2 linked regions of the Anolis sagrei genome follow. The protein of the gene in region 1 interacts with the protein of each later gene in a pairwise test. Links are inferred from orthologs where the notes say so. Each region holds a gene or a part of one and is shown on either strand. Other genes may lie near its edges.

Evidence for each region.
Region 2: the proteins of ARFIP2 (region 1) and ARF3 interact in a two-hybrid assay, tested with the Homo sapiens proteins (2 studies listed by BioGRID and IntAct). The link is inferred for Anolis sagrei from reciprocal best matches to the Homo sapiens genes ARFIP2 and ARF3.

The regions. Positions count from the first base shown.
Region 1 is NC_090023.1:1,133,427-1,141,645, forward strand, and holds the start of ARFIP2 (arfaptin-2), read left to right. Parts: upstream 1-5,114; 5' UTR 5,115-5,325; coding exon 5,326-5,439; intron 5,440-5,576; exon of another isoform or gene 5,577-5,588; intron 5,589-7,358; exon of another isoform or gene 7,359-7,377; intron 7,378-8,219. Other genes in the region: DNHD1 (dynein heavy chain domain-containing protein 1), read right to left, coding at 2,414-2,438; TIMM10B (mitochondrial import inner membrane translocase subunit Tim10 B), read right to left, coding at 2,622-2,786, 2,892-2,987, 5,033-5,068. UniProt on the Homo sapiens protein: Plays a role in constitutive metalloproteinase (MMP) secretion from the trans Golgi network. May have important functions during vesicle biogenesis at certain cargo subdomains, which could be predominantly utilized by secreted MMPs, such as MMP7 and MMP2.
Region 2 is NC_090022.1:137,920,117-137,927,623, reverse strand, and holds the start of ARF3 (ADP-ribosylation factor 3), read left to right. Parts: upstream 1-4,207; 5' UTR 4,208-4,438; intron 4,439-4,444; exon of another isoform or gene 4,445-4,536; intron 4,537-7,507.

The DNA of each region.
Region 1 (8,219 bases):
TTGTTGTTTTTATGATGCTGTTGTTGTGTCTGTGTTATGTTTTTATTGATTGACTAGCCGCCCCCTTGCCAAGTATTGCTGTAACCCAGTCTGCGTATGTGTGTGTTGTGTGTGTATATCAGCGCTGGAAAATCCTGCAAATCTCTTGGGAAGACAGGCGGGGAAACAGCGTGCTGGAAGAAGCCAAGAACACCAGCATTGAAGCGATGGTCCTCCGCCATCAACTCCGCTGGGCCGGCCACGTTGTCCGGATGCCCGACCACCGTCTCCCAAAGCAGTTGCTCTACTCCGAACTCAAGAACGGAAAACGGAATGTTGATGGGCAGGAAAAGAGATTGAAATACGGGCTCAAAGCCAACCTTAAAGTCTCTGGCATAGACACTGAGAACTGGGAAGCCCTGGCCCTTGAGCGCTCCAGTTGGAGGTCAGCTGTGACCAGCAGTGTTGTAGAATTTGAAGAGGCACGAATGGAGGGCGAAAGAGAGAAACGTGCCAAGAGGAAGGCACGTCAAGCCCACCCTGACCGAGACCGCCTTCCACCTGGAAGTGATTCCAGTCATGAAAGCTTTCGACAACTCATTAATAATAATAATACTTCATTTGTAAACCGCAGTCTCTCCCCATGGGGACTCAGATCTGTTCAACTGTGGAACTCTCTGCAGTGGAGTGGAGTCTCCTTCCAGAAGAGGGCTAGACGGAAGACTGACAGCAATCCAGTGAGAGCCTTCCTTTGACAACACAATAATAATAACAATACTATATTTCTAGACCGCCCTCTCTCTTTATAGGAACTCAGAGCTGTTCAGCAGTGGAACTCTCTGCAGTGGAGTGAATTGGAGTCTCCTTCTGGAAGAGGTCCAGACGGAAGACTCACAGCAACCCAGTGATTCCGGTCATGAGAGCCTTCCTTTGACAACACAATAATAATAACAACAATACTTTGTTTCTAGACCGCCCTCTCTCTTTATAGGGACTCAGAGCTGTTCAGAAGTGGAACTCTCTGCAGTGGATTGCCGTAAGTTTCATGAAAGCTTTCGACAACCAATAATAATAATAATAATAATCCTTCATTTGTAGACCGCCTTCTCTCCCCATAGGGACTGAAGAGCTGTTCAACTGTGGAACTCTCTGCAGTGGAGTTGATTGGAGTCTCCTTCCGGAAGAGGTCCAGACGGAAGACTCATAGCAACCCAGTGATTCCGGCCATGAGAGCCTTCCTTTGACAACACAATAATAATAACAATGTTTCTAGACCACCCTCTCTCTTTATAGGGACTCAGAGCTGTTCAACTGTGGAACTCTCTGAAGTGGAGTGGATTGGAGTCTCCTTCTGGACGAGATCCAGACGAAAGACTCACAGCAACCCAGTGATTCCGGCCATGAGAGCCTTCCTTTGACAACACAATAATAATGAAATACTTTATTTCTAGACCGCTCTCTCTCTTTATAGGGACTCAGAGCTGTTCAACTGTGGAACTCTATGCAGTGGAGTGGACTGGAGTCTCCTTCCGAAAGAGGACCAGACGGAAGACTCATAGCAACCCAGTGAGAGCCTTCCTTTGACAACACAATAATAATAATACTTTGTTTCTAGACCGCCCTCTTTATAGGGGCTCAGAGCTGTTCAACTGTGGAACTCTCTGCAGTGGAGTGTACTGGAGTCTCCTTCCGGAAGAGGACCAGACTGAAGACTCACAGCAACCTAGTGATTCCAGTCATGAAAGCTTTCGACAACCCAATAATAATAATAATACTTCATTTGTAAACCGCTGTCTCTCCCCATGGGGACTCAGAGTTGTTCAACTGTGGGACTCTCTGCAGTGGAGCGGACTAGAGTCTCCTTCCAGAAGAGGGCCAGACGGAAGACTCACAGCAACCCAGTGAGAGCCTTCCTTTGACAACACAATAATAATAACAATACATTGTTCCTAGACCGCCCTCTCTTTTATAGGGGCTCGGAACCGTTCAGCAGTGGAACTCTCTGCAGTGGATTGCCATAAGTTTTCCGGGGCTGTGTGTCCACGTTCCAGGAGCATTCTATGCATGTATGTCAGGCATCCTCAGAGGTGGAATGATGTCCAGGATGGTGGAAAGAAAATCTTCTCCCAGGCAGCAGGCAGCCAGATCTTGAAGTTGCAAGGCCATTAAACGCTAATCAAGCTGACCTCACAACCTCTGAGGATGCCTGCCATAGATGTGGGCAAAAGAAAATCTTCTCCCAGGCAGCAGGCAGCCAGACCTTGAAGTTGCAAGGCCATTAAACGCTAATCAAGCTGAATTCACTATCTCTGTGCATGTGGGCAAAACGTCAGGAGAGAGTGCTTCTGGAACACAGCCAGGAAAGCCTACAACGAGCCACTGCTGTACACAATGCCCTCTGCACATGCTCAGGGCCCCCCTGGCCTTGCTTTACCCTTCTCTGGCGCGGGAGACTCCATGGCTGCTGAGGAGGAGAGTGAGCGTTGCCAGGGGCGTTGCTAAGGAAGCCTAACGTCCCCCCTCCCGCCCTTCCGGAAGTCCGCTCTAGCCGTGCAGAGGATGTCCCTCCCCTTTGGGTGAGCTCAACCAATGAGGAGGCTTGGAGGAGGAAAAGGCGTTTGTATTTGAGTAAGGGCATTGCTTCAGTCCCCACTTCCGGGCGTGGGAGGCTCCTCCCCTTCCGGCTTGGCGGGCCCGCCCTCCTGCAGGCGGCGCTGGACCAAGACTGGCATGAGGCGCACGTAGGCCGAGATCAGGCGCTGATTGGAGCGGACCAGCTTCCCCGCGCAGCCCTCCAGGCACGCCTCCTGCCATAGAGAGAGAGGGAAAGAGAGGCACCGCTGGGATCAGAATGGCGGAAGAAGCCACAGGAAGTGGTTTTCCCCCGCACTTCCGGCGCCTTTTGCCCTCACCTCGCTCCCGTCTAGGCCTCGCTGGAGTAATCCCGGGACGCAGCGCCGGAAGCAGAGCTCCGTCATCCGGTTGTAGACCAGCAGGAAGTCCCGCAGCTGGAACAGGAAGGAGACAGATAAGACGTTTGGACTACAACTCCCACAATCCCCAAGTGTTAGGAAAGCAAGGCCTAGCTCAGGCCTTCCAGGCACTTTGGACTACAACTCCCACAATCCCCCAGTTTTGGGAAAGCTAATCCCTCTCTCAGAGCCCAGCTGGGCCCTCCAGGCGCTTTGGACTACAACTCCCACAATTCCCGACTGTTAGGAAAGCAAATTCCTCTCTCAGAGCCTAGCTAGGGCCCTCCAAGTGCTTTGGACTACAACTCCCACAATTCCTAAGTGTTAGGGAAGCAAAGATCTCTTTCAGAGCCGAGCTTGGGCGCTCCAGGCGCTTTGGACTACAACTCCCACAATCCCCAAGTGTTAGGGAAGCAAAGCCTAGCTTGGGCCCTCCAGGCGCTTTGGACTGCAACTCCCACAATCCCCAAGTGTTAGGAAAGCAAAGATCTCTTTCAGAGCCTGGCTTGGGCCCTCCAGGCGCTTTGGACTACAACTCCCACAATCCCCAAGTGTTAGGGAAGCAAAGCCTAGCTTGGGCCCTCCAGGCGCTTTGGACTGCAACTCCCACAATCCCCAAGTGTTAGGAAAGCAAAGATCTCTTTCAGAGCCTGGCTTGGGCCCTCCAGGCGCTTTGGACTACAACTCCCACAATTCCCAAGTGTTAGGGAAGCAAAGATCTCTTTCAGAGCCTAGCTCGGGCCCTCCAGGCGCTTTGGACTACAACTCCCACAATCCCCAAGTGTTAGGGAAGCAAAGCCTAGCTTGGGCCCTCCAGGCGCTTTGGACTACAACTCCCACAATTCCCAAGTGTTAGGGAAGCAAAGATCTCTTTCAGAGCCTAGCTTGGGCCCTCCAGGCGCTTTGGACTACAACTCCCACAATCCCCAAGTGTTAGGGAAGCAAAGCCTAGCTTGGCCCCTCCAGGCGCTTTGGACTACAACTCCCACAATCCCCAAGAGTTAGGGAAGCAAAGATCTTTTTCAGAGCCTAGCTTGGGCCCTCCAGGCGCTTTGGACTACAACTCCCACAATTCCCAAGTGTTAGGGAAGCAAAGATCTCTTTCAGAGCCTAGCTCGGGCCCTCCAGGCGCTTTGGACTACAACTCCCACAATCCCCAAGTGTTAGGGAAGCAAAGCCTAGCTTGGGCCCTCCAGGCGCTTTGGACTACAACTCCCACAATCCCCAAGAGTTAGGGAAGCAAAGATCTCTTTCAGAGCCTAGCTTGGGCCCTTCAGGCGCTTTGGACTACAACTCCCACAATCCCCAAGTGTTAGGGAAGCAAAGCCTAGCTTGGGCCCTCCAGGCGCTTTGGACTACAACTCCCACAATCCCCAAGAGTTAGGGAAGCAAAGATCTCTTTCAGAGCCTAGCTTGGGCCCTTCAGGCGCTTTGGACTACAACTCCCACAATGCCCAAGTGTTGGGGAAGCAAAGCCTAGCTAGGGCCCTCCAGGCGCTTTGGACTACAACTCCCACAATGCCCAAGCGTTAGGGAAGCAAGGCCTAGCTTGGGCCCTCCAGGCGCTTTGGACTACAACTCCCACAATCCCCAAGCGTTAGGAAAGCAAAGATCTCTTTCAGAGCCTAGCTTGGGCCCTCCAGGCGCTTTGGACTACAACTCCCACAATCCCTAAGCGTTAGGAAAGCAAAGATCTCTTTCAGAGCCTAGCTTGGCCCCTCCAGGCGCTTTGGACTACAACTCCCACAATCCCCAAGTGTTAGGAAAGCCAAGCCCTCTCTCAGAGCCTAGCTTGGGCCCTCTAAGCGCTTTGGACTACAACTCCCACAATTCCAGAGTGTTAGGAAAGCAAAGATCTCCTTCAGAGCCTAGCTTGGGCCCTCCAGGCGCTTTGGACTACAACTCCCACAATGCCCAAGCGTTAGGGAAGCAAGGCCTAGCTTGGGCCCTCCAGGCGCTTTGGACTACAACTCCCACAATTCCTAACAGCCGTCCCGGCTGTTAGGAATTGTGGGAGTTGTAGTCCAAAGCGCCTGGAGGGAAGGATGGGAAGCCCCGCCCCCTTGTTTGGGAAGACTCACGCTGCGCAGTTGCTGCTGCTGCTCGCTCTCCGCCATCCTGCGTCACTTCCGCTTTGCTTCCCCCTTGACTCCTTCCTTCCTTCCTCTCTCTCCCCCCGACCCTGGGGCCGCCGTGACGTCGCTTCCGGTCCTCCCGGGGGCCCAAGGCGGCGGAGGAGGAGGAGGAGGAAGGCGACGTGGCCCCAGTTCCGGGAGAGAGGGAGGGAAGGAAGAGGGAGGGGCCTAGAGCGCACCTGTGCACCTGGGAGGCAGGTACACAAGCTCACCTGTCCCCCTCCTGCTCCTCGTCCAGGATGACGGAGGGGCTGATGAGCAAGGCGGCCACCATGGAGGTCCCCATCCACGGCAACGGAGACTCCCGGCGGATGGGACCCTCCACCACCTCCGAGGATGATGGCCTCGAGCAGGTGCATTGAGGGAGGGGCTCACCTGGAGAGGGTGGGTGGGGGTGGGGTGGGGTAGCAGGGGAATTGAGGCAGGGGCTCACCTGGGGAGATTGGGTGGGTGAGGGGTGAGGTGGGGTGAGGGTCCCTCAGAAGATGATGGCCTCGAGCAGGTGAATTGAGGGAGGGGCTCACCTGGAGAGGTTAGGTGGGTGGGGAGTGGGGTAGCAGGGGAATGGAGGGAGGGGCTCACCTGGAGAGGTTGGGTTGGTAGGGGGTGGGGTAGCAGGTGAATTGAGGGGGGGACTTACCTGGGGAGATTGGGTGGGGGGGTGGGGGGCGGTCGAGCAGGTAAATTGAGGGAGGGGCTTACCTGGGAGGTTGGGTGGGTGGGATGGGGAGAGGTCAAGCAGGGACCCGTATTACTCGTAGTAATAATATTATTATTGGTGTTGTGGTGGTGCTTGAGTAGCAGGCAAAATGTCAGGAAGAAATGCTGCCAGGCCACAGCCCTACAACCTGGATAAGCACACAACTGAGGGAGGGGCTTACCTGGGAGGTTGGGTGTGGGGGGGGTGGGGAGGGGTCAAGCAGGGACCCGTATTACTCTCAGTAATAGTATTATTATTGGTGTTGTGGTGGTGCTCGAATAGCAGGTGAAATGTCAGGAGGAAATGCTGCCAGACCACAGCCCTTACCTGGGGAGATTGGATGGGGGCTGGGGGTGGGGGTGGGGGTGGGGAGGGGTCAAGCAGGGTCCCTTATTACCATTAATAGTATTATTATTATTGGTGTTGTGGTGGTGCTCAAATAACAGGCGAAATGTCAGGAGGAAATGCTGCCAGGCCACAGCCCTACAACCTGGATAAGCACACAATTGAGGGAGGGGCTTACCTGGGGAGATTGGGTGGGGGGTGGTGGGGGTCCCTCAGATGATGATGACCTCGAGCAGGTGAATTGAAGGAGGGGCTTACCTGGGGAGGTTGGGTGGGTGGGGGGTGGGGAGGGGTCAAGCAGGGACCCGTATGACTCGTAGTAATGATATTATTATTGGTGTTGTGGTGGTGCTCGAACAGCAGGTGAAATGTCAGGAGGAAATGCTGCCAGACCACAGCCCTACAACCTGGATAAGCACACAAGTGAGGGAGGGGCTTACCTGGGGAGATTGGGGGTGGGGAGGGGTCAAGCAGGGTCCCTTATTACTCATAGTCATAATATTATTATTGTAATATTATAATATTATAATATTATTATTGGTGTTGTGGTGGTGCTTGAATAGCAGGCGAAATGTCAGGAGGAAATGGTGCCAGACCACAGCCCTACAACCTGGATAAGCACACAAGAGAGCCGTCATTCCAGCCGTGAAAGCTTTCCACAATACATTATTATTATTATCATTATCATTATTATTATTATTAGAAACATAACAAGATGAGTCCACAGCAGACACTCTGCTGGCTGTTGCATTGGATCCCATGTCGGACACATTATTATTATTATTATTATTATTATTATTATTATTATTTGAAACACAACAAGATGAGTCCACAGCAGACACTCTGCTGGCTGTTGAATTATTATTATTATTATTATTATTACTGTTATTATTTGAAACACAACAAGATGAGTCCACATGTCAGACACTTCCCAAGTGCCTAGGACTATTATTATTATTATTATTATTATTATTATTATTATTATTAGAAACATAACAAGATGAGTCCACAGCAGACACTCTGCTGGCTGTTGAATTGGATTACACATTGGACACTTATTATTATTATTATTATTATTATTATTATTATTATTATTATTAGAAACACAACAGGATAACACTACAGCAGACAATCTGCTGGCTGTTGTACTGGGTCACACGATGGACACTTATTATTATTATTATTATTATTATTATTATTATTGGACACTTATTATTACCACTCAGAGGATAATGGCCTCGAGCAGGTGAATGGAGGGAGGGGCTTACCTGGGGAGATTGGGTGGGGGGTGGGGGTGGGGAGGGGTTAAGCAGGGACCCTTATTACTTTTAATAATATTATTATTATTATTGGTGTTGTGGTGGTGCTCGAATAGCAGGTGAAATGTCAGGAGGAAATGCAGCCAAACCACAGCCATAATTATTATTATTATTTTACTGACACAAAACCACAATATGTCACAGCAAACAAGATCTCTGTGCTAGGTTTCATATCACAAAATCATAAGTCGATCCCTTTCCTAAGTGTCTATTTATTTGTCGTTTCACGGCAAGCAAACTGCATTGAGTCGCCTTTTTGGGCTGAAAAATGCGGTATAGAAATAAAGCAAATAAATAAATAAAATAAATAAGCAGTCAATTATATTATATTTCTAACAGAACAAAGCAAACAAACAGACAAAACACAGAATTTGTGAGTTTGGTAGTTGGTTAAATGTCCTTTGAGCAGTCTCTGGCCACTTGGAGTGCCTCTGGTGTTACTATAAGAAGATCCTCCCTGGTGCATGTGGCAGGGGGTCAGTGGTTTGCTCTTCTCCGCACTCGCATGTCGAGGATTCCACTTTGTAGCCCCATTTCTGAAGGTTGGCTCTGCATCTCGTGGTGCCAGAGCACAGTCTGTTCAGCGCCCTCCAAGTCGCCCAGTCTTCCATGTGCCCAGGGGGGAGTCTCTCATTTGGTATCAGCCATTGGTTGAAGTTCTGGGTTTGAGCCTGCCACTTTTGGACTCTCGCTTGCTGAGGGGTTCCAGCGAATGTCTCTGTAGATCTTAGAAAACTATTTCTAGATTTAAGTCGTTGATGTGCTGGCT
Region 2 (7,507 bases), on another chromosome or scaffold:
GGATTGCAGACCACTGTTTGTATTTTGATCGTATGTTCATTTATAATTAAAAGGTTGGCTGACATATTTTCATTTAGAAGATTGTTCACCAAGAGGGAAAGCTGTAAGGAAGCATAGTAAAAAAAACCCAATCCATATAAAGGGACAAAAATATTCCTCATGGTGTAAACACAGCCTGGTGTATTTCAAAGCAGAGGTGCCTCTTCAACTGGCAAACTTGCAGTACTGTACCTAACGCCACATGAAAAATTAAAGGTTTTATTCACATTTCAGTAAATTACTTCCACATCACTGCACAGATTTGTTTTGAACCATCTCTGTATTCCATTGTCTCTCTAGATCAGGGGTCCTCAAACTTTTTAAACAGAGGGCCAGGTCACAGTCCCTCAAACTATTGGAGGGCCGGATTATAATTTGAAATAAGCATGAATTAATTCCTATGCACACTGAACATATCTTATTTGTAGTGCAAAAAAACACTTTAAAACAATACAATAATTAAAATGAAGAACAGTTTAAACAAATATAAACTTATTAGTATTTCAATGGGAAGTGTGGGCCTGCTTTTGGCTGATGAGATAGGATTGTTGTTGTTGTTATATGCTTTCAAGTCATTTCAGACTTAGGTAGACCCCGAGCAAGGGCTGGGTAAATGACCTTGGAGGGCCATATCTGGTCCCCGGGGCTTAGTTTGAGGACCCCTGCTCTAGATGAAGCAAACAGGAGTTATGGCTTCAGGAGTGGGAGGAAATGAATCTAACTCTCCCACTGTGAATATCACCATCAGGGTTAATTCAAACCACTATCGGCCTGACTAGTGGAGGCAATGCAAATGGCTGTTGAGTGTTTGCATTTTAGGCCAATACCATGGTCTAAACTTGTGGATTCTGTTGCTCATGTATGTCTAGATTAAGATGAGAACATAAAGCATTGGGAAATCCTATGATGAGATGAATGGGAGAGATTCCTTTAGCAGTCTGTTTCATGCCTTTCCTGTTCAATGTGCTGCCAAATGAATCTGTTTGCCAAAACCAGAAGGAAGATGTCGCTCTTTGCTCCTTTCCTTCATTACTCCCTCATACTTCATTGAAAGTATAATCCTCTCCAAGTCTGTGAATAAATGTGAACGAATGAATTCAGTGGGACCTATTTCCAGGTGCGTGGGTACAGTTTTGCAGCCCTTATCAAAAAGTCAGAGGCAGTTCAGCACCAATCAGAAAATTTGCGAGATGTAGGTGGTAATATTCAACATATTTTGGGTTGTCAAATTCCACTGTTAAATGTATCTGCAATAGGATGACTCCTGATAAAGACTACTTTGCCCACTCCATAAGTAAGAGGGATGCATGGAAAGAGCTTAGCTTTGATATTAAAGCAAGCAGAATATGATCTGGTGGCCCACTTGCCTTGTACAGTATCTGAAGTCTATGGTTTTTTTTCCTGTCACATCTATTATATTCTCCCAATCCCTCCCATTAAATAAGGCTTCCCCATACTGAATCACACTGATTGTAGACCTGCAGCTGGATCCTTTCCTCCATCAATTCATTTTCATATCTATTTCATCTCTTTCTTTTATGTCAGGCTACCACTAAAGGTTCCAATATTAAACTTTTGTTCTCCTCCTCCCCCGCCCCAATGTCAGATGGGCAAAAAACATGCAGATGGAGAAATCAGATACATTTTCCATTTGAGATAGGACACTGGGGTGGAAATGTATGGTTTGCAGAATGCTAGCAGAGGCTGTGAAAGCATTTAGGGGTTATTGCAAACACAGAAAGAAAGTCAATGAGTGGAGAAGTTCAAACAGCACAAGTTTAATAAGAGGCAGATAGACTAGACTGTCACTTCACTGAACCAAGGCAGATCTGTAAATGATTGGTCATTGTATAGTAGACAAAAACATAAGGTTGAATTAAGGAGCAAAATAGATATTATTTTTGTGGTTTTTATTTATATTAAATATAAACTAAATAGTCTGCAGCTCCACCCCTGTCAACCTCCCCCCTGCACCACCACCACCACCACCAAGTCTGGCCTCCTTCAGGAAGGCCTTCAAATTCACCCTTCGCCTTAGCCTTTGCCTGCCAGTTGGGGGTGGGCCAGCTTAGTTGCTTCCACTATATCAGCTATTGCACTGGTTGCAATGTAAATTGGTGGAAAGGTGGGTAAAGAAAAAGACAAAACAGAACACACAAAGATATGTAAAACTACCAAAACTTGCATCTGTATAATGTCCAATACCACTAAATTACAATGATCTTCAGACCTTCAGGAACTGCCCCCTACACATAATGTAGTTTTCTAACATTGGTGAATGTAAACTTTCTAATAATAATAAACTGTGCATCATATTTTGAAGGAAACTTCTCAACCCTACCCCAAGATAATATCACACACACATTATAGTACCAAGACTCTTAACTAACAATGTATCATAAGAAAGATTGGGGGGGGGACACAAATATTATTTTTGTTATCTAACATCTGTCTTACCATTTATCTTCTATTAATATTTTTAAGCACTAAACAATGTTACAGACCAGTCTTTAAATATCCCATTCTTCTATTCCACACAGTACACCAAGAGAATCCCTATTATGTCCCAGTTACCCACTTTTAGGTAAACACTTGAACCCTGGTGACTGTGGGATGGAGAACCTGGTCACGGGGATGGAATCACAATAGACCACTGCAACTCCACCTCCCAGACCTTGCCTGCTGTTGCACAGAGAATCCTGGTGGGCAGAGCTGAGAGAAATTGTCCAACCCAGTCTCATCCAGCCCGGTCTCTGTGATATAGACCAGGTCAGCATATTCATCCAGGATCAAGTCCTGGGTGACAGTTGGTTTTCCATTTACTGGCATTCAACAGCAGCATTTTCAACCTGGGGAGGGGGGGGGGGGCTCTCACCCTGATTATCCAGGCTATAAAACATAGGAGACTTTGGAGGCAATAAGCACTCTGTAGGACTCTAATGGCTGCACCATGAATCAGGGGACTCCCCTCTCCTCCTTAGAAATATACATCTTTCCTATAAGGTTAGGCTAACAGATGGCAAATAAAAAACTTTATATAAAACAGGCATGTAGATGTTATAATTCCACTGCAACTACTAGGCAGATTTATTCTCTAGTGTGGTGAAGTAGTGGGATTTCTGGGAGTTGTAGGGCAAAACACCTGGGAACCTGCAGGTTGAGAACCACTGTGCTAGGGGATAGTGGGATTTGCTGTCTTGAAAGGCCCCTTTACAGTCCTCCGCCAGAGAGCTCTTGGTCCTCATTAAAAGACAAACTCCACAAGATGTTGCCATGGCAGTTAAAGTGGAATAACAGTGCTATGATACTGTGGCATTGTTCTCGGGTGCTATTCCTTAACATCTGGAGGGCCAGAAGTTAAACTCTGCTGACTTTGGGTCTAATCCAGGCATGGGCAAACTTGGGCCCTCCAGGTGTTTTGGACTCCAACTCCCACAATTCCTAACAGCTGGAGGGCCCAAGTTTGCCCATGCCTGGTCTAATCTCATGAGCTCAAACTACAAGAAAGGAGTTTCCATTTGAACATGAGGAAGAACTTCCTGATTGTGAGAGCTGATCAGAATGTGGTGGAGGCTCCTTCTTTGGAAGCTTTAAAACAGAGGCTGGATGGCCATCTATCGGGGGTGCTTTGAATGCGATTTTCCTGCTTCTTGGCAGGGGGTTGGACTGGATAGCCCATGAGGTCTCTTCCAACTCTAGGATTCTATGAGAGATACAGCACTATGATTGCACTCCTATTGCCATGGCAACACCCACAGCACGTTGAAGCGGAATCATCGCGATTTGACAGTGCAGCGTGACAGGGCTCCGTGTTGTGAATGTGAAGGTTACTGCTTTCTCTGTGAAGTGCGGCCTCGGTGTTGCCACTCTCGCGCGCACGTCTACATTGCCATGAGCGTTTGGCCTTCGGTGCTCTTTGGCCGTCGTGGCCCCCTCCCTGCTTGGCTTCCCCTTCGTCCCCTCCTGTTCAGGAACACCGTCCCCCCCACAACAACACCACCACCACCACCACAGCAGGGCGCCTTTCAAGGACTCCCTCCCTGGAAGCCCTCCTCCCCCGCGCCTTGCAGCAGGAGCAGTGGCTGCGGACGCTACCATGGAAACGAAGGACACCGGGGGGAAATCTCGCGAGGGGGCGGCGGCGAGGTCTCGCGAGAGCGTCTCGTGTTCACGGGCCTGGAGAACGGATGCCGCTGCTGTTCCTTGCTTCCGGGTGCGGGGAGAAGGAGGAGGAGGGCCGGCGCGTGAAAGAGAGAGAGAGCGCGCGCGCGCAAGAGAGAGAGAAAGGGAGGGGGGATTCGCTGCTGCTGCTGCTGCTCTTGTTGGGAGAGTGCAGAGTCAGCTGGGCGGCAGGAGGAGGAGGAAGAGGAGGAGGAGGCAGCGCGCGCGCAGGAAGCAGGTGGGTTGCCCGGGCCCGGCTTGCCCTGCGGGGGTGGCGGCAATAGGAGGAACAGCCGCCGCTGCCGCCAGTGACCAAGGAAACCAACCGTTAGGGAGGTAGATTCCACGGCGGGAGGGAGGGAGGGAATGGCGGGGGTGAGGGAGAGGGAGAGAGGGGGGGAAAGGCAAATGGCGGTTGAAGGGCGCGCGGGCAGGGGTGAGGGAGGAGGAGGGGGAGGCCGGTCCCGAGGCCAGCGGGGGGCCAAAGGGCGGGCGTTGCGGCAGGGATGGAGGCGAGGCGGGGAGGACCTGCTGTGTGCGGCTTGTGCAGTGACCAAGTGAGTGAGGGAGGAGGCAGGCAGGGAGCCATGGCTGCTCTGCTCCTCGTCATCCTTCTGTGCGGAGGAAGAGAAAAAGCTGGGGGCGGGGAGGCGAGGCGAGGGAGCTCTCCGTCCTAGCTCCCTCCGAGCCACCGTACCTGGCCAAGGTGTGGAGGGCGGAGAGGAAGAAGGCAGCCAGGCCTAGCAGGCCTTGGGCGCCTGGCCTGGAGGTAGAGGGGCGTCCCACGCACAAGGGCCGGGACCAGCTCTTTGCCTCCTCATTGAACAGTCCCCTCTTATCATCCCCTCTCTATGGTGGTGATGATAATGATGATGTGTTGTCGAAGGCTTTCATGGCAAGAATCACTGGGTTGCGGGGAGTTTTCTGGGCTGTATGGCCATGTTCCAGAAGCATTCTCTCCTGACGTTTCCCCCACATCCATAGCAGGCATCCTTTATTTCCCAACCTGGGCACAGCATATTATTTGAGAACACAGAAATGCTGGACCACTCTAACAACTTCCATGTCAGACTACACAGAGAAAATGAAATCCACAAGCATGTGGACAATTTCAACAAAAAGGAGGAAACGATGAACATGAACAAAATCAGGCTACCAGTATTTTTTTAAAAAAAAAACCTCTTAAAACAGGACAACCTCTGTGGATGCCTGCCATAAATGTGGGTGAAACATCAGGAGGGAATGCTTCAGGAACATGGCCATACTGCCCGAAAACTCACAGCAACTCAGAAACCCATGGGTGTCTGGAATTGTGACACCTTTGTTTTCTGACTTTGTACAAAATTACCTTCAGTGGGATATAAATACACAACATTTGGAACTTCAGCATGACCAGACAGACTCAAATTGGAATACGAACAAGGAACAGCTAAGACGATGGAAACAGTTGAGGAATTGAACAGGAAGGCAAAGTTTTATAATTTTTGTTTTTATTGCTTTTATGGTTTTTAAATGTATTCTCATGTGGTTTAGTTTTTGATTTGTTTTTTGATTTTGTTTTGTTTTGTTTGCTTTTAACCAATGTATGTATTTTTATATGGCATCTAATTGGTTGTTGATTTGTACGCCGCCCTGAGTCACCTTCGGGCTGAAATGGGTGGGATAAAATGACGTAAATAAATAAATAAATCATAATAGGTTGCTGTGAGTTTTACAGGCTGTATGGCCTTGTTCCAAAAGTATTCACTACAATGGCAGGCATCCTTAGAGGTTGTGAGGTCTGTTGGAAACTAGGAAAGTGAGGTTTATCTCTGGAATAATGTCCAGGGTGGGAGAAAGAACTCTTGTCTGTTGGAGGCAAGTGTGAATGTTGCCATTGGCCACCTTGATTAGCATTGAATGGCCTTGCAGATTCAAAGCCTGGCTGACACCTTCACCATTCACCACTTGGAGCCATGGAGGAAAAGTACTCATCAAGTTCCTGGACCACCTCTACAGCATCCACACAAACATCCAATTCACCATGGAAAAAAAAGAAAATGAAGGAAAACTGCCATATCTAGATGTCCTAGTTGTCTGCAAATCCTATCAACAATTGGGCCACACAGTTTACAGACAACCTACGCACACAGATAGACACCTACATAAAAACTCCAACTATCACCCAAGTCAAAAAAGAAGCATAGTTAAAGCCCTGGCAGGCCGTGCAAAAAGAACCTGCGAACCCCACCTCCTCCAAGGTGAACTGAACCACCTAAACTGGGCTCTACAGGCCAATGGATACTCCACCTCAGACACCAGAAGACCAAGATGAGAGTAAAGACAAAAATCTACACATAGGAAAAGTGTTCTTACTATACATCAAAGAAACCACTGACCGCATAGGGAAGCTGATGAAGAAACACAATGTACAAACAATTTACAGACCCACTAAGAAAAATCCAACAAATGCTATGTTCAGCAAAGGATAAGAGGAATCCTCTCACCTCTGCAGGAGTCTACCGTATACCATGCAGCTGTGGACAAGTCTACATAGGGACCACCAAACACATAATTGCCCAAACATGAATCAAGGAACATGAAAGGCACTGCAGACTAATTCAACCTGAGAAGTCAGCCATGCACATGATGAATCAACCTGGACACAGCATATTATTTAAGAACACAGAAATGCTTGAGCACTCTTAACAATCACCATGTCAGACTACACAGGGAAGCATAAAGATAGGACACTAAAGGAAGTACTAAATGTGTTGTTGAAGGCTTTCATGGCTGGAATCACTCAGTTGTGCATTTTCTGGGCTGTATGGCCATGTTCCAGAAACAGTCTCTCCTGACATTTCACCCACATCTATGGCAAGCATCCTTTATTTACCAACCTGGGCACAGCATATTATTTGAAAACACAGAAATGCTTGAACACTCTTAACAACTTCCATGTCAGACTAGGCAGAGAAGCCATTGAAATCCACAAGCATGTGGACAAAACCATAAAAATGAACAAAATCTGGCTACCAGTATTTAAAAACTCTAAAATCAGGACAGAAAACGGGAATTCCAGAGAAGAATCAATCAAGGTTAGCTAACATCTCCCAACAAAGAATTCCCCCAGAACACCAATCAGCCAGGCTTTGAAGCTGCAAGACCATTAAATTGTAATCAAGGTGACCATTTGCAACATTCACACTTGCATCAAACAGACAAGAGTTCTTTCTCCCACCCTGGATATTCCACAGATAAATAAACCTCACTTGCCTAGTTTCCAACAGACCTTACAACCTCTGAGGATGTCTGCCATAGGTGTGGG